Linked DNA regions of Stegostoma tigrinum. The protein of the gene in region 1 purifies or fractionates together with the protein of each later gene. This does not show direct contact. Links are inferred from orthologs where the notes say so. Each region holds a gene or a part of one and is shown on either strand. Other genes may lie near its edges.

What was found. The genes of interacting proteins can lie anywhere in the genome.
Region 2: the proteins of cep76 (region 1) and cep97 purify together in Homo sapiens (co-immunoprecipitation; 4 studies listed by BioGRID and IntAct, with this or other methods). This does not show direct contact. The link is inferred for Stegostoma tigrinum from reciprocal best matches to the Homo sapiens genes CEP76 and CEP97.

The regions. Positions count from the first base shown.
Region 1 is NC_081358.1:117,631,009-117,641,827, forward strand, and holds the start of cep76 (centrosomal protein of 76 kDa), read right to left. Parts: upstream 4,306-10,819; 5' UTR 4,235-4,305; coding exon 4,136-4,234; intron 1-4,135. Other genes in the region: psmg2 (proteasome assembly chaperone 2), read left to right, coding at 5,023-5,088, 7,312-7,483, 9,374-9,432. UniProt on the Homo sapiens protein: Centrosomal protein involved in regulation of centriole duplication. Required to limit centriole duplication to once per cell cycle by preventing centriole reduplication.
Region 2 is NC_081365.1:30,102,169-30,112,684, reverse strand, and holds the start of cep97 (centrosomal protein of 97 kDa), read right to left. Parts: upstream 4,087-10,516; 5' UTR 3,915-4,086; coding exon 3,860-3,914; intron 1-3,859. Other genes in the region: rpl24 (large ribosomal subunit protein eL24), read left to right, coding at 4,164-4,168, 4,297-4,372. UniProt on the Homo sapiens protein: Acts as a key negative regulator of ciliogenesis in collaboration with CCP110 by capping the mother centriole thereby preventing cilia formation. Required for recruitment of CCP110 to the centrosome.

The DNA.
Region 1 (10,819 bases):
TCCCTGCAGCTCTAGCGAGATAAGAGCTATTTTTTATGGCCTGATTAATCACTGTTTGATCCTTATACAAAATGTGAGGTTGCAACTCCCTCTATTTGGAGGGGGCTGCTGCTCTATTTCTGGCAGGGTTTTAGTCCCATGTTTCTGAGCTTTGTCTAGTCAATGCAAAAGGAATCAACAAGGCAGAAGCTACTTCATGCTGCTCTGATTTGGCAGAAGTGACCATTGACAAGTCTTGCTGAGTAGAGTCTATGCAGCTACCCAGAGTTCTCCCACAGTTAGGACCACATTCAGATTTACCAGGGAGAAAAAAAACACTGTCTCTCAAGGCTCTGCAATCAGTAGGAAGAGTGGACATACAGAACAAAATTATAATTTAAAATAAAAAACAGTAAATATTGTAAATACTCAACAGGTTTATCATATATCAGTGAAACAGAAACAGAGTTAACATTCTAGGTCAATGACCTTTTCCTTGCTCAAATGTTAATCTAAATGTTACTGAGCAAATTGTTGGAGCTGTGGACTGACAAGTTCCTTGGTCCTAAAACTCTTCAGCCTAGAATCTGAAAAGTAGTCGTTGAGACAGTGAGGTGTTAATTTAAACTTTCATTAAATATAAAATAGCAAATATAACTCAGTTACTTGAAAAGGGAAAGCATCAAAGCAGGAAACTACAAGTCAGTTAGCTTAACGTGTTATAGGAAGCTGTTAGAAGCTATTATCAAAGCACAATAGCAGAATACTAAGAAAAGTTCAAAGTAATCAGACAGAATGGATTATTTGAGGAAGTAACATGCTTGGATAAAGGGGAACTGATGAATATAAAGGGAATATACATTATACATACAGTGATTAAGCAAATGGATGAAAACTTGGGAAATAAAGATTTGTCTGTTTTGGCAGGAAGAATAAAAAAGGTGTGAGATTGCAGAGCTTTGGAATGCAGAGGGACCTGGCTGCTTTAGTTATGAATTGCAAACAGTTATAATGCAAGTTAAATTATTAGGAAAACTGATAGAATATATACATGTTTTGTTGTACAGGAAATGAATAGAAAAGTAGGAGTTTATACTTCAATTATACAGGGTATTGGTGAAACCAGATCTGGAGCATTGCTCTCCTTATTTAAGGATGTAAATGAAGAGGCAACCTGATTAAAATATTCAAAGTGCAGGCCATTTCAAGTTTGATCCACCATTCAAGAAGCTCATGTTTGATCTGATGTTAACCTCAACTCAACATTCTTGCATACTCCAATAACGTTTCATCCCCTTGGTAATAAAGAAGCTATTTCCCTCTGCTTTTGAAAATATTTAAAGATTCTGTTGACTGCCATTTGAGGAATGGAACTTCAAAGACTCTCAACCCTGTTTTTTCTTCCAACCAACCCCCCTCATCTCTGTCCCTAAATGGATGACTCTTTACTTTTAAATTGTGACCTCTAGTTCCTGATTCTCACACGAGAAAACATGTTTTTGACATCCGCTGGTCAAGATCCTTTAAGATTCAAATCACCTTGATACTTCTAAACTCCAGTTACAGGCTGAACCTGTCCGTCCTTTCCTCAAAGGGAATTGGCTCATTCCAAGTATTGGTCCAGTAAACCTTTTATGAACGGCTTCCAATGCATTAACACCAGTTCAAAACTACAGTGATCAGTACTGTACACAGTACTCCAGATGTAGTTTCACCAGTACCCTGCACAACTCCTCTACTCTCACATACAATTCCCGTTGCAATAAAACACGTTATCTGCTTTCCTGATTATTTGCCTGGTTACTGCATATTAACCACCTGTGATTCTCACACTAGGACACCCGGATCTTTCTGCAACCTCTCACTACTTAGATATCATGCTTCTTTATCTTTCTGCCAAAAAATTCTCAGATTGTATGTGAGAACAGAGAACAAATAACTAATGTTGTTCCTCTGTTCAAGAAGGGAAACAAGGATAATCCAGGAAACCACAGACCAGTAAGTTGCACATTGGTGGATAGGAAGCTATTGGAGAGAATTCTTAGGGTTAGGATTTACATTTATTTGGAAAAGCATGGCCTAGTTAGGGACAGTCAGCACGACTTTGTGCCTAGCAGGTCATATCTCACTAACTTGATTGAATTTTTCGAGGTGTTGATAAAGGTGATCGATAAGGTAGAGCAGTAGATATTGTCTATATGGATTTTAATAAAGCTTTTGACAAGGTCCCTGATGGGACTCATCCAGAAGATTAAGATGCATGGGATCCACAGTGACTTGGCTGCTTAGATTCAGAACTGGCTTGTCCATGGAAGGCAAGAGGGTAGCAGTGGGAGGGTGTTTTGCTGGCTAGCGGTCCACGAATGTTGGTGTTCAGTAGGGATCCATACTGGGATGCCTGCTGTTTGTGATATATATAAATGACTTGGACGAAAATGTAGATGGATGGGTTAGTAAGTTTACAGATGATACAAAAAAAAATATCACTGGAGTTATGGGCAATGTAGAAGATTTTCAAAGGATACAGCGGGATATAGATCAGTTGCAGAGATATAGTCAGAGAAATGGCAGATGGAGTTTAATCCAGATGCTATATTTTTGGAAGATCAAACGTTAGGAAAAAGTGTAGCTAATGGGAGGACCCTGAACAGCACTGGATCTTGGGGGGTTAAAGGCCATAACTCCCCAAAAATGGCCACACAAGGAGCTAGCATTGTAAAGCATGCTTGCTTTTGTTGATCAGGGAATGGAGTGCAACAGTCATGATGTCATGTTGCAGCTTTAGAAGATTTTGGTTAGGCCATAATTCTAGTTGTCAAACTACATGAAGGATGTGGACGCTTTGGAGAGGGTGCACAAGAGATTTTTGCGGATGCTTCCTGGATTAGAGGGTACGAGGAAAGGATAGTAAAACTTGGGCTGTTTTCTCTGGAGTGGCAAAGGCTGAGCAGAGACTTGACAGAAGTCTATAAAATGATGAGATGCATACATAGGGTTGACAGTCAGAATCTTTCCACACCCCCCCCCCCGAGAACTGAAATGTCTAATACGAGGGGGCATGTATTTAAGGTGACAGGGAAAAGTTCAAAGGAGATGCGAGAGGCAAAGTTGTATTCTCTTTTTAATAGTGTGGTAAGAGTCCAGAACGTGCTGCCAAGGTGATGGTGGAGACATGTACAATAGGGGCATTTATGGAAATTTTAAATAAGCACATGAATATGCATGGAATGGGGGGGGGGGGGAGAGAGATATGGACAAGTGCAAGCAAAAGGAATAACTTTAATTTGGCATCATATTTGGCACACTATGGACCAAAGGGCCATTCCTGTGCTGTGCTGTTCTATGTTCCATGTATCAGATAATTTCCCACTCACAACCTATATCCCTCTGAAGGCTCCTAATACCTTCTTCACAACTTACTTTCTTACCTAGCGGCATCATGAGCAAATTTAGCCAGCATACGCAATGTTGACGGCTCTTGACAGGTCACAGTCATAGATTTACAACACAGAAACAGGCCCTTTTGCCCAATGAGTCTGCACTAATCCATCTATTCTAGTCCCACTTTCCAACACTTAGCTCATAGTTTTGGATGGTATTCCAAGTGTATGTGGAAAGGAGAATCTAGATCTACAAGTCACTATTTAAAAATACAGGGTTATCCATTCAAAACAAAGATAAGTAGAAATGCTTTCTCAAAGAGAGACAGGAGTCTGTGATCCTCTGTTCATCAAAAGGCAGTTGAATAGAGTTCTTAAATGTTTTCAAGGCAGTCATGATCTTATTGGAGCAGGCAGAACAGCTCGAAGGGCTGAATGGCCTACTTCTGCTCATGATTTGTATATTAAATCTACAAAGAGGTAAACAGTTAACATGAACTGTTTCTGGCTTTACACAGATGCTGCATTTTGCTTTACACAGATTTCGCACGTTTTCTCCTATTATTTCAGATCCATAGTATTTGCTCTCATTCAAAGATCATAACTCAACAGGTTAAATTATTATGAAATGCAACTCGTAAAAAGAGGTCAAGAGCTAAAAAGTTAACCATTATTGTTGTAGCTGATTAGACATAATCTGGGATATGGACGGCGGCCTCACGCATCTTGGGCGACATCAAGGCCCCAGCCCGAGGCTGGACGCGGTGAGAGCTCACCTGGGTCAGCTGATTGTGAATGATTTGCTTGAGTTCCAAAGCCTTTTCTGGCGGCAGCGACATAGCGCTAGGGACCGTTTTACCAGGGTTTATCAACATGCACAACCAGCAGCCCAACACAAAAACAACTCGCCGCCAGCCAACCGTCTCTGCAGTCGACAAACACCACCCCTTCCTCCCAACAGCCCTCAAGCCCCGCCTATCACCACCCTCCAATCAGCATCTAGCCCCGCCCTTATCTCCAGTAGCAACTGCAGCCACCACCCAAACACAGCAACGCACCATCCCACCAACGGCCATTAGGCCCCGCCCTCTTACTGACGGACATCGAACTGCGCACACCTCCAAAACACCACATAAAAACGGAAAGAGAACCGACACGTTAATTCTGTGATGTTTTTGTTCACAGGTGCGGCCAGACCTTTTCCAGCAACTTCATGTTTCCAAAAGACCAAACCGACAGCGTTTCAACCCCGTAACCGCACTCACCAACTCTGCTAGACAACCACCCAGGCCAGCCTCACACTGATTACGACAAAGCCCCCCGCCCCCACAATATTTCAAGCCCCGCCCCTTCATCGGCTCACGGCTCGCGCTCTAAGTTTGAAGGCTTGAAAACGAAGCGGGAATTTCACCTCGCGCTTGCCCGTTCAACTGTCTGGCACAATGCTAAAAAAATCTGCAACAACTGGATTTGATCGCTCAACGTTGCAAAGCACAGCTGTAGCTAGTTGCTGCCTATAATAAGTGCGATTTTAAGAAAAACAACGCTCGTGCGCCCATGCCTCGCAATTTTGCGACGCTCTCAATGTATTGCCCACCCCGTGTCTGGGAAGAGGGAACGTCATCAGAAAGCGCCTAGCGGTTGAAGGAATTCAGGTGGTGGAATGGAGACGGTTTTCGTTCCGAGTGGGAATGGCTCCGTAAGCCTGAAAGGCTACACTCTGGTCATGGTAGGTAACTGAACAGTTATAAGAAATAGGAACTGGAGCAGGCCACTCGGCGTCTCGAACCTGCCTCACCATTCAAGGTGTAGAGCTGGGTGAACACAGCAGGCCAAGCAGCATCATTTCGGGCCCTTCCCCGCCTCCATTCTGAAGAAGGTCCTAGGCCTGAAACGTCAGCTTTCCTGCTCCTCTGATGCTGCTTGGCCTGCTGTGTTCATCCAGCTCCACACTTTGTTATCTCGGATTCTCCAGCATCTGCAGTTCCTACTATCTCTGCTTCATTGTTTAGTAGGATCGTGGCTGATCTGACGTTTTTCAAGAGATAACAAGGTGTAGACCTGGATGATCACAGCAGGCCAAGCAGCTTCAGGGGAGCAGGAAAGCTAACGTTTCGGGTCGAGACCCTTCTTCAGAAGAAGGGTCGTCTTCTTTCTGATAAAGGGTCTAGGCCCGAAATGTCAGCTTTCCTGTTCCTGCTCCTCTGATGATGCTTGGCCTGCTGTGTTCATCCAGCTCTACACCTTGTTATCTCGGATTCTCCAGCATCTGCAGTTCCTACTATGTCTGGCATTTCTCAAGTCCGCTTTCCTGCCTCTTTGCCATAACCCTTGATTTTCCCCAACTGGTCACAAATCTATCGATCTCAGTCTTAAATATACACGAGGACTCTTACCCCCATAGCCTTCTGTGGCAAGGAGTTCCAAAGACTCAACCCTGTGAAGGAAGAAATTCCTCCTCATGTCAGTTTTAAATTGGCTCCCTTTTATTCTGAGTCCATGTCCTCTGCTGTTAGACTCTCTTGCAAGGCGAAATACCTTCTTGGCGTTTACTCTTTGACTTGCTAGATGAGTGGCCAAGGTCTGAGAGAGGCCTCTGAATAGTATAAACCAATTAAGCCAAATGGCCTGTTGCCATGCTGCTAAGTTCAGTGTCATTTCATTCTGTGTAAAGTGTGCCTTTAGCACGGTTTATGGGAACTGTTGAAGATGTGGACTTCGCTGTACTGTAGACTCATGCTGGGGTTGCACCTACATTGGCCTTGTCCTCCTACATGGATCTACTTGACCTGATTTCTTGCAGATGTAACGTGTTGCTCCTAGTTTTCGTCCTCTTCCTCTCCTCAAAGGATGACATCAGTGTGTGGCAAATTGGGGTGAGTTGTGCATCCTCAAGGGATTCTGAAGGTATTGCTAGAGATGTGGGAAGTGGTCAATTGCATGAAAGGCTTTTACATGGGACACAGTTACTTGTGGCTAAGATTCCTTCCCACCACTGGCAATCATGTAGGAGAAAGTGAGTGTACGTGGCAAATATGTTAAAGACAACAGATGGGAACAAGATCAGAGAAACCTAGATGTCAAGGTTCATAAAGGTTAGAATTTTTAAAAAAATGAAGCCTACAGCAGGTACTGAATGTTCAATACAGAAGAGCCCCTAGAGAAATATGAAACTTAAAAAGGAGATTATGAAACCAAGAGACCGTATGAGAAATCATTGGTGGATAGAATAAAGGTTGTCTAGAACTAACTATCTGAAAGGGTTTTTGAGTCCAAAACTCATTCTTTAGATATTCACTTGTGTTGCCATAGTTTCCAGAGCTTTGGTCCATAAGCTAGGAAATGGGATTAGTGGGATCAGATCTTTGAGGACACAATGATGCCAAATGGCCTCCTTGTGCACCATAAATATGAGTTTGAGGCTGAAGACTGCTTGAGAAGGATGGGAAAGAATTAGGCACTACAGTCACAGGTATATAATTTCTGTTTTGTGACTTTGGTAAAGGCCATTTGAATATGTTGCAAACCTGGAGTTGCAGGCAAGATGGCCACTGATCTGGGAGTTGACAACACTTTAGGAGAGCAAAGGGAGCTTGGAAGATGATATTTGCAATGACAGCCTGGCCAGTGTGGATACTTGCTATTCAGCCCAACTAGAACTTGTTAGTCTAAAACAGGACTATGGAATATTATCATGATGTGAATCATTCCTAAACCTTTCTCAATATCAAGTCTACTATGGGTGGATGAAAATGAGGAGGAAGATGCAGCGAACACCACATGAATATGTACATTTTAAAAAAAAAAAATTTCCAATGCATTTAAAATAAGGTATGGCCAAAGTCTTACTCTTGTGTGTTGTTTCTGTGGAACCACAAAAGATCAAGTTAGTCATGTGGCAGAATGCAGTGAACACGTAACTTTTAAATAACTGAGCTTTTTGATGTTCCAGCCAGTTGTGTCTGTGGGTAATGTTGGTCAGCTAACGGTGGATCTGATCATTTCTACACTCACATTACCAAGGGTTGGTTATATCCACAGTGACTGCCTCCTTCCGGTGGTGGGAAACAATCCATATGCAACAACTTTGGAGAACTCAACAGAAATGTGTGTCAGCTCTGAAGGTGAGTGAGAGGGTAAAAGTGTGAAAAACTCTGATATAATATATCTAGGAATTTACATTTAGAAAACAAAAATCCAAGGTTCAATCCTCAAGAATTCCGGAGATATTTGGGGGTTGTGCCCTAGATATAATTAGAAAAGTGATAATCGTTCCATCCAGCAAGGCCAGATTGTGGTCAGTAGCATGAAAGGCTGTAGACTGCTCAAGAAGAATGAGGAGGGATTGTACAATGTGATCATGAATATGTAATCTGTCCTTTGCAACTGTGATTGATTAATAAAGTCATTTTAGTGTTGTGCAGGGGCAGAAACCAGGTACTTTCAGGGAGTTTTTAAAAGTTTGTGAAAGAGATAAATGAATCTGATTTGAGGCAAATTGTTCACTCTCATCAGTAATTAAAACACTACGTAATAAAAGTTTAAATGAAGTTGGCCCTTTTATAAGGCAAAGTTGTACACTATAAGAAATGGCACAAGTCTTTGTGAAACAGTTGGATGTGTTCAGAGAAAGAGTTAAGATGTCATTGGCAATTGCATGTTAATGATTGTCCACTGATGATGTGTTGTCTGATGAAAAGCTACTTAAACACTCAATGGTCTTTAACCTGTCTTCAAAATTCTTATTGCAGTTTTATTTACTTAATTATCCCTTTGAAGTGTAGCAAAGCTTTTTTTCCATTTGGTTTTTGGATATGAGTATCACTAGCAAGGCCAGTGTTTATTTCTTATCCCAAATTACTCAAGAAACTAGATCATTTCAGAGCGAAGTACGTTGCTGTGGATCTGGAGTCATGTGTAGGTCGTACTAGGTAAGGATGGCATATTGCCTTCACTGTAGGTCATTGACATAAGACTCTTCTGGTTCAATAACCATGTAGTTTATGAGCATTTATTAATGAGACTAATATATTATTATGGATTTATTGATTCAATTTTCAATTTCCCATCTGTTGTGCTCGAAGTTGATCCCATGTCTCTAAAGCAATAGAAGCATTCACTCCACAGACGTTGCAAGACCTTCTCTGTTTCTCCAGCACAGAGATAATATTAAAAACATTCGTCAAGGGTTCTGGCTAATCAAATATCGTTACTACCATGCCTTTGTTCCCCCTTTTAAGTTCATTGTGCCAACAACAAGAAGGCAGATGACAGTAATTTGTGTGAACCTGTATTTGAAGACTACAGTAGCTGATTAATTTTTATGCAGCAATCTCTTCCACAGTCCTTAATTTTAAAGAAGTCTTTTTCCCATTTCAGTCCAAAATGAGAATACAGAAAAATAATTTTTGCAATAGAAAACCAGTTCTTCTACGGGCCAACCCAGATGAAAGGAATGCAACCTTCAAATTAGAACTGGGCTCCGCATGTGTGACATGTGTTTCATTCACAAACAGTAGTAGAAATTTCAAATATTCTTTCTTTCCCTTCCTGTTAAAGCAATAGCTGTTGCAGCTAGATTAATCAATATTAAAACTGAGATTGATTTCCAACATTGTATCACTAGTATTCAAGGATATAGAATGAGAGTAGATGATGGAGTTAGGTACAGATTAGCTACGATCTAACTGATGGAATAGGCCCAAGTGGTTGAATGACTTTCTGAATCTGTGGTCCTGCTTCTGTTCTTCTAGTCCTGTATAAATGCAAGTCTTTATTTCTCAGTAGCCCTGCTCGCATAACATAGCTGGCATTGGAAAGCATGCAACTAGTTGGCTTATATTAATTATAATTGCCTCCAGTAAGAATGCAGTTTCTGGTTTTGAAATAAAACTTGATATTCTGGTAAGAGTTTTTAATATTCTTGAGGATGAAGTCTGTTAATTGATTCCTATAACACCAAAACTTGAATCTTTCCCCCCTAACCTTTTGTGTTACACATTACTATATTGCAGTTTACGCATCAGCAGACCAGAAGTTGGCAGTCCTGCAGATTCGATCCCCAGTTGTTCAGGTATTCAATGTAACAAAATCAGACACTTTTGGCTATCATGAATTGTGTTTTACATGGTTGAAATTTAAGTGAAGTTTTTGGCATTTGCCTTTTATTGAAATGTAAAGTTTTAAAGCATGATAAAAGTCTCATTGCATCCACACCAGTCACGAAACATCAGTCTATTGTAGTCCTGTTTTATAGCACTTGGCCTATAGCCCTGTAGCTGTGTTATTTCAAGCGCTCATCTACATAGCTTTTAAATGTCAAGGGTTAGCTGGATTGGCCATGCTAAAAAAAATTATCTTGTACTGTCCAGGGATATGCAGGATTGGTGGTTTTAGCCATGGTAAAAAAAATTCCATACAGGGTTACAGGGATGGAATGTGAGGGTGGATCTGGGAGGGGTGGGAGGGGCAATGCAGACTCGACGGGCCAAATGGACTTCTGTGATTTTGGGGTTCCTGCTTTTACCACCCTTTTCAGCAGTGAGTTCAGAGTGGAAAAAGTTTACCTTAGATCCCTTCTAAACTCCTGCTCCTTACTTTAAAACAGTCCCTCATTGTTCTTGGCCCTTCTACTCTGAGGAAAAGTTTTTCCCTATTTACCTTTCTGTACCCATTCCCATCAGCCTTCTCTGCTTGAAGAAAAACTATCCCAGCATATCTAGTCTGTCTTCATGGTTGAATCACTCCAGCCCAAGCAACATTCTGAAGAATCTGTTCTGAACCCTTTTTAGCACAATCACATTCTATTAGTGTGGTGACCAGAGCTCTATATAAGACTCCAGCTGTGGCTTAACTCATGTCTCATACAGTTCCATTCATAACCTCCTTGCTGTTTTGGCACTTTGGCTAGCAAAGGCGAGTATCACATATGCTGCCTTAATCACCTTACCTACCTGCCCCTTTGCCTTCAAGGATCTGGGGACTTTGGTCCGCTGCAAAGAGGAAGTACCCTCTAAGCTTCTTTGGGTGCTTCACTTCAGTGTGTGCTCCTTTTGTCTTGTTAATCTTCCCAAAATACATTGCCTCTCACCTTTTTCAGGATAAAAATGACTGGGAAAAAGATTGCAATAGAATGGTTATCAATTAATTTACTTTTCTGGTACTTGTAGTATGCACTAAATTTTGAGTTACGTCAAGACATTCGCTATGTCTGAATGACCTGGTTAACATCACTGTGACTGACCTATGTTCATTTAATGGAATGGCTTTCTATGGTTTTTGTGCTGTTTAAAGTATTGGAGAATTGTCTCCCATCTTGCAGCTAAAGATCAAATCGCTACGTTCAGGACTTTGCCATTGATGCCATCCACACACAATATTATTGTGGAGCTGCACAAATATTTATTTCATTCAAGAATCCTTTCACTTATCAAAATGTGAAATATTTCTTTAAGAAGAGT
Region 2 (10,516 bases), on another chromosome or scaffold:
AGGTGGTGGACAGGCTGTGGAGAGTTGAGACAGCGAGAGATAGTCTCAACTTAGAGATTGTCGTTACCTGGCAGGAATGTTACTTGCCATTTATCAGAGGGAAGCTTGGACGTTGTCTACATCTTGCTGCATTTGGACATCGACTACTCAATATCTGAGAAGTCTGAACAGTGCTGAACCTTGTGCAACCAGAGAACACCCCTATTTCTGACCTTCTGAGGGAAGAACTGCATGAATAACAAAGTCACCAACAATGTTGTTTTCCTCCTCGCTTAACAGCATTTTCTAATTCATGCTTGGAATATTGACCCATCACTGAAAGACCAATGTTTTTTACCCCTTCCTAACTGCCCTAAAGAAAGTGGGACTGAGCTGCCTTCCTGAATTACTGTAGCCCATCAGCGGTGTATAACTTTAGTATTAGGAAGGTAATTCCAGGATTTTGATTCTCCACCAGTGAGGGACTGACAATATAGTTTTTCAAGTTATGATGTAGCATGGTTTGGAGGGGAAATTGCAAGCGATGGCATTTCTATGCATCTGCTGCCATCTACCCCCACTGCACCACACAACCAGCCCAGCCCTTCCCCCCCACCCACTGCATCCCAAAACCAGTCCAACCTGTCTCTGCCTCCCTAACCGGTTCTTCCTCTCACCCATCCCTTCCTCCCACCCCAAGCCGCACCCCCAGCTACCTACTAACCTCATCCCACCTCCTTGACCTGTCCGTCTTCCCTGGACTGACCTATCCCCTCCCTACCTCCCCACCTACACCCTCTCCACCTATCTTCTTTACTCTCCATCTTCGGTCCGCCTCCCCCTCTCTCCCTATTTATTCCAGTTCCCTCCCCCCATCCCCCTCTCTGATGAAGGGTCCAGGCCCGAAACGTCAGCTTTTGTGCTCCTGAGATGCTGCTTGGCCTGCTGTGTTCATCCAGCCTCACATTTTATTATCTTCCATCTAGTGGTATGGTTTATAACATGCTGTTGAAAGAACCTTATAAGTTGCCCAAATGCATCTTGTGGATGATGCAAACTGTTATGCATTGTGTGTTGGTAGTCAAAGTAGTGAATATTTACAGTGGTAGACAGAACTCCGATCAAGCTGCCTGCTTGATCAGGTGAGCTTCTTGGATATTGACAAAGCTGTACTAATCCAGGAAAATCCAGTTGGTGTAATTCCAAATGAGACCAGTTTATGCCTAGATTATTACATTTATGTATACGAACATTTTTCAATCCAGTATCTCCAGGGTTTCTGGAACCAAGTCATCCTGTAAACTAATTGATTTCTTTGAAGACTTCTTTCAACCCAATTGTCTCATTTACCTAATTATTTCCAGTTTTTGGATAGGAGTTTAGTGAAATCATACCTGTAATACTTTGTGCAGTTCTGGTCTCTGTATTTAAAGAATGATATCCTTGCATTGGAGGCAGTACTCAAAGGGTCCTGGGATGATAAGGCTATCCTTTGATGAGGGACTGAGTAAACTGGTGTAATATTCTCCAGAGTTTAGGGGAAAAAAAAGTGAGGTAAATCTCAAAAAAAATTCAAGATTTTGATGGAGTTGACAGCGTCGGAACACGCTTATTTCTCCTGTCTGGAGAATCTAGGAAGATGGGATCACAGTTTCAGGACAATGGGACAATCATTTAGGACTGAGATGAAGAGAAATTTCTTCACTCAAAAGACAGTAAATTATTGGAATTTTCTACACAATGAGTTGTGGATACTCTATTATTGAACATAATTAAAGGCTGAGATAGACAAATTTTTGATCTCTTTGATCATCAAGGGAGATAGGAGTCTTGCAAGAAAATACTACGACCAAAGATCAACCACAATTGTACTGCACAGCAGATCCGGCACTTTCTGCTATATAAGCTTGCTCCCAATTACTATATTCCTCTCACTTAAACGTCACCTTTGTCACCCAAGGAAGCAATAGAAACAATACTCAATGGAAACACCTTGTCTAAGTTAGAGGTTTGAGGGTTCCCATTTTGCTCAGTGAGAGTGTAGATAAACTGTGCTGACACTCCGGACAGTACACCACTCCGTCTGTACTGCACAGAAGTGCCATCTTTCAGAGTGGATGCTCTAAATCCAATTAATGCTCTTCTGTGCAGTGTTAATGAATAGATAGAAATTTGTTTAGATGGCCTTTCAGTATAGATACTGTCTGACTGGTTTGTTTGTGTCATATTCAAGTTTAACGATTAAACCAAATTTCTGATCAGCAGGTTTCCATTAGAAAGAGATTGCAGTACCACATTGGCCACCCTGCATTTCTTATTTTGCAGCAGGAACTATAGTAAAATAAGTATTTAATTAGCAGGAAGATGTTTTGGGCTGTGCTGAGGTTATGAAAGACACTATACAAATTCAAGTTCTTTCTCAAATTGCAACAAGTTACAAGATTTTAAATTTAATTGGCAAATGAAGTTCATCACCAATAAAAACACACAAGAGCATAAGAACAAGGAGGAGTGGGCCATTTGGTATGATCATGGCTGATCTCATCTCAGGCTCAATTCCACTTTCCTGACCACTCTCCATAATCCTTCAACCCATCACTAATTAAAGTTTTCCTTAAATTTATTCAATGTTCCAGCATCCACTGCACTCTGGAGTACTGAATTCCTCAAACTTATGATCCTTAGAGGGAAGCAATTTCACCTCATTTGTTTCTCCTTATTGTAAAACAACAATCTCTTATTCTAGATTGCCCCACACGAGGGGATATCCTTTTTATGTATACTTTGTCAATGTCCTAAGGCATCTTACATGCCTTAACTAGATCTCATTCTTCTAAACTCCAGATGAGGTATTGTATTTCAGAAAGAAAAATAAGGAAATGCATTTTACTTGGAAAAGAAGCATCTAATTAGAGCAAAGGGGCAAAATAATTTGGCCATACAAAAAATAGTGATAGACACTAAGGTGGTCATTAAATCTAGGTAAGTGGAGTACTTTTTTAAGAGGGGCAGAATTGAAAGAAAAAGTTACACTAACCATCTATCAAAATTTGTAACTTCACAGCTGAAGCACATCAAATTCTAGTACATTACAAAATGACAGCAAGGCAGGAGACAAAATGCAAAATGGGTTCGGAAGATGTTAGCAGATACAGGAGGCTATACTATCTGTAGGCTGGATTTTTTTTCCTTCTGAAAAGAGGCTGAGGGTTGAAGAAATTGAGGTCTTTAAAATTAAAGATTTTGACAAAGTGAACACAGAACAGTTCCACTTGCAGGTAACTAAAAAACTACAGCCTACGTCAAATGCATAACTGATAAGTGAAATCAGTAGAAAAAAAATCCTTACTAAAGATTGTCTGAGAATGTGGAAGTCATTTCTACAAGGGTGATTTAAAAGAATAGATGTATATCCATATGCAGACCACCATACGTTCTAGAGGAAGGCTAGATAAATAAAGAAATGGTAACAGAGGGGTCTTCCGATAGATTAGGTGGGAATGCTTAGGAAAAGGCTGCAGGGAAGTATAATAGCATAGGTTAGTTGGGCCAAATAATCGGTTTCTATTTTGTGCATCCTATCCACATTAAGTTACTAGGCAATAAATATAAAAGAAAATGGTAGAATCGCGTGTCATTAGGGGAAAAGAGAAGGCTTATAAAAAGTTAGAACATTTTGGGGAAGGAGTACACTTGCCGTCTGTTGGAATTGTAGCTACAAGTCTCTGACCACCGCCCGCACCTTTACAGTGATCAGTGATCAACTACAACCTCCGTCCAGACTTCAGCAGTGGTATGTCCCAAGGGAAATAAAACAGCGACGTGTCAGTACAATCGGACGGTTCAAATACGATGCTCAGAATCACAATCAAGCACTTACTCTCATCTGTATTAACCATCATGTCAGGAACCTCTCCGCCCTGAACCGCCATCATGCAGCAACTTCCCGCGTGCTTAACGCCAAGCAACCACTCCGCTCGCTGATTGGCTTCCGTGAGGGCTCAATAACACGCCACCCTTTTTTCGAGAAACAATCAAATTCGTTTAAACTGTTTCCTCCAAACATATACGTTTTAATTTTGCAGCCGCGATTTGTTTTATATTTCTTCCCACTCCTCCCCTCCGGAAACGCGAGGGCTTTACCCACAATCCTCCTTTTCTCTCGCGCCATCTTAACTGTCGTCATGAAGTGAGTCTAATCGCTAATTTAATCCTCTTTCATCCGCTGTTTTTGCCTGTAAAGTCATTCTATCCGCGGTTAAGTTATGAAGTTCCTTAATATAAGCGACCGTGATGACTGGTTATTTGTTTCCTCAGGGTCGAACTGTGCAGTTTCAGTGGGTATAAGATATACCCGGGTCATGGGAAGCGCTACGCCAGGATTGATGGGAAGGTAAACGCAAGGAAAATTCTGAAGTGGTGCAGTGCTGCTCGAACTGGCTCTTAAATACGTTAGTTCACGCAGATCAAATAGGGCACCGTGTGTTAATGTGTTGAATATGTGCACTGAAATCGCGTATCTTGGGATTCATTGAGTCGAAACGTGAATTGACCAGGCCAATATCCTTTTGTAGAAATAACAAGGTGTAGAACTGGCTGAATACAGGAGGCCTAGCAGCATCGGAGGAGCAGGAAAGCTGACGTTTTCGGGTCTGGACTGCTTGCCCTGCGGTGTACATCGGCTCTACACCTTGTTATCTCAGATTCTCCAGCATCGGTAGTTGCTACTAACGCTGAATCCTTTCGTAGATCTGTTTGTTAAGAATCTGTACAGCTCGATCTTGCCAAGACTTTTCACTTGTTTCTTTTCGATAGTAATATTCAGCCTTTTTAAAATTTTTAAATCAAGTAGCGTGTAGACCAATTGAGCCTATTTTCGTACTGATGCAGTACAATTTTGTGCAGTAGTAGATCGTTAGACTTCCTTTAAAGTGAAGTTTGAGTTCACTATTCAGCTTCTAGCTTAATGAATATGGCAAATTATCTAAACAACTTATTTATTTTTTTAAAAGTTGCAAATCTCAGTTTGGGACTGTATGGATGTGTTTTAACACGATCTGTCACGTCCTGTGCTTGCATGGGAATAGTTGAAACCTTCATGAAATTAAGGTGCTAAACATAATTGCAAAGTTATGTTAATGTTTTGTTTTTTATTTAAGTGTCAAATAAGGGACATAAGATTTCTAGATAACTTAGTTTAAACCTAGGTTGACTGAGAATATCTTTCTAAGAACATCTTTCTAAGAACAGTTAGTTGTTGATTTAGTCTGTCAGGACCTTTTGCTATGTTTGATGGAGATTCTGTTTGTATTGGTAGAGAGTAAAGGATCTTGTTACTTGCCAATTAAAGACATCAGCTATACTAGTACAAAGCTGTGGTAGAGTGGAAAATCCTAGACAAAACCAGAAATTGCTAGTGAAACTCTGGGAAGAAAATGGAGTTTACGTTTCAAGTCCAGTGACTTCTCATCATAACTAGACTCAAAATATTAACTCTGCTTTCTTATCACAGATGTTGCCAGATATGCTGTCTTTCAGCAGCAATTTGTTTTTGTTTCAGACCTACGTCATCGGTATTTCTTTGTTTTACTTTTGTGAAAGATCCTAGTTTTGAAGACTTGCACTTTCACTACATTAGAATGTTTCAGGCAATTTTGCGACCACTGTTATGTAATGCTGGAACGTCTGACACCAATGAACAACTTGTATTTATAGCACAGTGAAAGTATTGAAAACATCCCATAGGAGCATTATAAAAATTATAGCCATGTCTCTTTGGCAGATGACTGAAAGTTTAGCCAAATGTAGAATTTAAGGAGCCTCTTTAAAGGAAAGGCGAATAAATTGAATGGGGGTGCTTAGTGAGTTAATACCAGAGCATTCAGCTGAGGCAATTGAATAAGGATAGAGGGGCACTTGACCAGTATATATTTTGTTGCAAATCTCTTGTAGAGTTGGAGGTAATTGTTGAGGTATGGAAGGAGTTGAATAGAAAAGTGAGCACACTTTTTTAAAATAGGTGTTGCGTAGAAATGATGGATAAATGGTGTTTTGAGATTTGGCAATGTTTTGAACAATCAGGTCCATGAAGTATAGGATTTCATTTGAAAGATGAAACAGTACTTGAAAGAGTCTGTCACTCTTGACCTGTGTTCAGGTCATTGGGTGGGGTTAAAAAATCATAATATGCTGTCTTGAGGTGAAAATGGAACGTGTTCTGTAATGACTGACATTTTCGTTTCAGTTCTGTGCTCTTAACTTGGACAACTGATGACAATATCCAGGCTAGAAAGTGAAATATTTTACCAGGCATAGAAACAGAAAATATGAACCAGGAAGACTCTTTGGCTCCACCCACACATCGATGAATACTACTCATGTTTGGACATTGAGCAGTTTTCTGCTGAAAAACCTTGTCACACCTACTGACTCCCACAACTACCTAGAATACACTCCTCTCACCCACCTTCCTGCAAAAAGATCATCCCCTATTCCCAATTCCTTCGCCTCTGCCGCATCTGTTCCTGTAATGAAGCATTCCACACCTGGACATACCAGATGTGGTTCTTGGGGGAAAAAAAAGGACAACTTCCCCTCCACAGTGGTTGAAAATGCCCTCGACTGTGTCTCCTGCATTTCCCACAACTCATCCCTCTCACTCCCTCCCTGCAATAACAACCAAAATAGAATCTCCCTCGTCCTCGCATACCACCCCACCAACTTCCAGATCCAACGCATCATCCTCCGACTCTTCAGCCATCTGCAATCTGACCCCACTACCATTGACATTTTTCCCTCCCCACCCTTCCCTGCTTTCCAGAGGGACCAGTCTCTCCGTGAATCCCTTGTCCGCTCCACACTCCCCTCCGGTCCCACCACCCCCAGCACTTTTACCTGCAACCCGAAGCACGTGCTACACCTGTCCCTATACCTCACCCCCATCCCAGGCCCTACGAAGACCGTCCACATCAAACAGATGTTCACCTGCACGTTTGCTAATGTGGTATACTGTATCCACTGTTCCCGATGTGGCCTCCTCTACATCGGGGAAGCCAAGCGGAGGCTTGGAGACAGCTTTGTGGAACATCTATGCTCAGTTCACAACAAACAACTGCACCTGCCAGTCATGAACCATTTCAACTCCCCCTCCCGCCCCTTGGATGACATGTCCATCCTGGACTTCCAGCATTGCCACAATGACGCCACCCGAAGGTTGCAGGAGCAACATCTCATTTGCTTGTGAACCCTGCAGCCTAAGGGTATCAATGTGGACTTCACAAGCTTCAAAATCTTCTCTTCCCCCTACCGCAACCCAAAACCAGCCTAGCTAGTTCCCGTCTCCCTAACCATTTCCTCCCACCTCAAGCCCCAACCTCATCCCACCACCTTGACCTGTCCACCCTCCCTGGACCAACCTATCTCATCTCTAACTCCTGACCTATATTCACCTTCATTGGCTCCAACCCCGCCTGTTTGACCTGTCTGTCTCCTCTCCACCTATCTTCTCCCCACCTATCTTCTCCTTCATTCATCTTCTATTTGCCTACCCCCCTCTCTCCCTATTTATTTCAGAACCCCCTCCCCCATTTCTGAAGAAGGGTCTCGATCCGAAAGATCAGCTTTCCTGCTCCTCTGATGCTGCTTGTCCTGCTGTGTTCGTCTAGCTCTATACAGTGTTGTCTCGGATTCTCCAGCATCGGCAGTTCCTACTATCTCAGACTCTTTGGCTTCTCGGCTTGCGCCTTCATTTGTTATGACCACAGTTCAGCATCCTTCAGTACTCTGTTCCTACTTTCTTCCCATTCCCTTTGATTCCCTTAGCCACAAGAACTGTCTCAAACATCTTCTTGAAAATAGTCTTAGAGATGTACAGCATGGACAGAGTCCCTTTGATCTAACTTGTCCATATCAACCATATTATATCCAATCTAAATCTAGTCCCATTTGCCAGATTTTGGCCCGTATCCCTCTAACCCTTCCTATTCATATACCCCTCCAAATGCCTTTTTAAATGGTATAATCGTACCAGCCTCCACCACTTCCTCATTCCATGTATGCACTACCAAGAAAAAGTTGCCCCTTTTGATCTCTTTCAAATCTTTCCCCTCACCTTAAACCTATGCCTTCTATTTTTGAACTCCCCCACCCTGGGAAAAAGACCTTACCTATTTACTTTATCCGTGCCCCTCATGATTTTATAAACCCTCAGTCTCTGATGGTCCAAGGAAAATAGCCCCAACCTATTCAGCTTCCTACAATAGCTGAAACCCTCAAACCCTGGTAATATTCTTAAAACTTTTCTGAACCCTTTCAAGATTTGCCACATCCATTCTATGGCAAGCAGACCAGAATTGCGCACATTATACCAAAAGTGGCCATGCCAATGTCCTGTACAGCTGCAACATGACTTCCCAAATCCTTTACTCAATGCACTGACCAATAAGGGCAAGCATACCAAATGCATTTACTATCCTATCTACCTGGGACTAAACTCCATCTGCCACTCCTCAGCCCATTAGCCCATCTAATCAAGATCCCATTGTACTTTGATGGAACCTTTTTCACTGTTTGCTACTGCCCCAATTTTTGGTGTCCTCAGCAAGCTTACTAACCATACCTCCTTTGTTCACATCCAAATCACTTATAGACAAAAAGCAGTACCCGCTTCAGCGATCTTTGTGGCACGCTGCTGGTCACAGGCCTCCAGTCTGAAATGCAACCTTCCACTACCACCACCAGCCTGTCTTCTACCTTTTTTGAGTCAGTTCTATATCCAAAAAGCTAGTTCTCTTTCTATTCCATGTGATCTAACTTTGTTGATTGGTGTACCATGCGGAACTTTTCGAAAGCCTTACTGACGTCCATATAGATCATATCCAGTGCTGTGCCCTCATCAATCCTCTTTGTTACTTCAAAAAAATCAATCCACTCAGTGAGACACAATTTCCTAAGCATAAAGCCATTGTTTTTGTGCCAGAGAAGCCCACAGGCTCAACACTTCTTGGATGAAGAATTTTTTTTCACAGATCAGTCCTAAATTTCTTGCCCTCTAACCTTAGACTGGCATCCCTGGTTCTGGACTCTGTTCATTGGGAACATCCTTCCTGTATATATCTTGTCAGTGAACGTAGATGTAATGGACCCCGTCTCTCTCCATTCATCAGTCCTGCCATCCCACAAATCATTTGGTAAACCTCTGCTGTACTTCTCCAAAGCTAGAACATCCACCCTCCCAGAAGGAGACCAAAACTGCACATGTACTCCAGAAGTGACCTCCCCTGTCATTATGAAGGCCAGCATACCATCAGCTATCTTCACTGCTTGCTTTCAGTGACTGATATACAACCCAGGTCTTGTTGCCCCTTCCCCTTTATCATCTGAATGGTGATAGACTAAGTGGGTAGGAGAGACTTTGGTTATTCACCCCATCCGTGCTCGTATCCAAATGACTAGCTCTCCTTGTGAGCTAACTTTGCTAACCAGTCTACCATGCGGAACTTTGTCAAACACTTTGCTAAAATTGATATAGTAAATTACCACCTCCCTGCCTTCTTCAGTTCTCTTTGTCACTTCAGAAAAACACAATGAAGTTTCCTGTCCATCAGAATCCCCTCCAAGAACTTAGCCATCACTGAAGTCAGGCCCACTGCTCTCTAGTTGGCGAGCCACCCTCCGGTCTTACCTCTCCTCTTTCCACACCCCACCCACCCCACCCTTAGGCTACTAATGATAGATATCTCAGCAGGGGGCCTAGTGATTGCTTCCTGCAAAGTTCTGGGATACACGTGATCACATCCCAGGGATTTATCCACCTTTATGTGCTTAAAGATATCCAGCACCACCACCTCTCTGATGTGGACACTTTAAGATATCACTGTTTATTTCTCAAAGTTCTCTAGTTTCCATATCCTTCTCCATAGTAAATATTGACATTGAAATTTTCATTTAATATCTCCTCCATCTCCGGTTCCACACATAGACGGCCTTGTTGATCTTTAAGGGGCTCTGCTTTTCCTGAGTGACCCTTTTGGCCTTGATGTATTCTGAAAAAATTCTAGCATATTTGTTGAGCATGATTTCCCTTTTGTAAATCCATGCTTTACCCGATTCTATCCCTTTTCTGAAAGCTTTGCTAATAAATCTTTTAAGGTGGACTCTAAAATTTTCCTTGCTACTGATGTTGGGTCAACTGTTCTGTAATTCCCTATTTTCTCTCTGGCCCCTTTTTTTTAAAATAATGGGGTTATGCTTACTACCCTCCAATCAATGGGAACTGTTCCAGAGTCTCTAGAATCTTGAACGATGATCGTCAGTGCAACCACTATAATGTATCCACAGTTTCTAGAACCACTTCCTGAAGTATTCTGAGGTGTAGATTACCATGCTCTGTGGAATTATCAGCCTTTAGTCCTTTAGATATTCCCAACATCATTTCTGTACTAAGACTGGTTTCTTTCAGTTCCTCCAGGTCACTAGACCCTGAGTTCCCTGTTGTTTCTAGTACATTGTGAAGACAGAATTAAAATATGTATTTAAC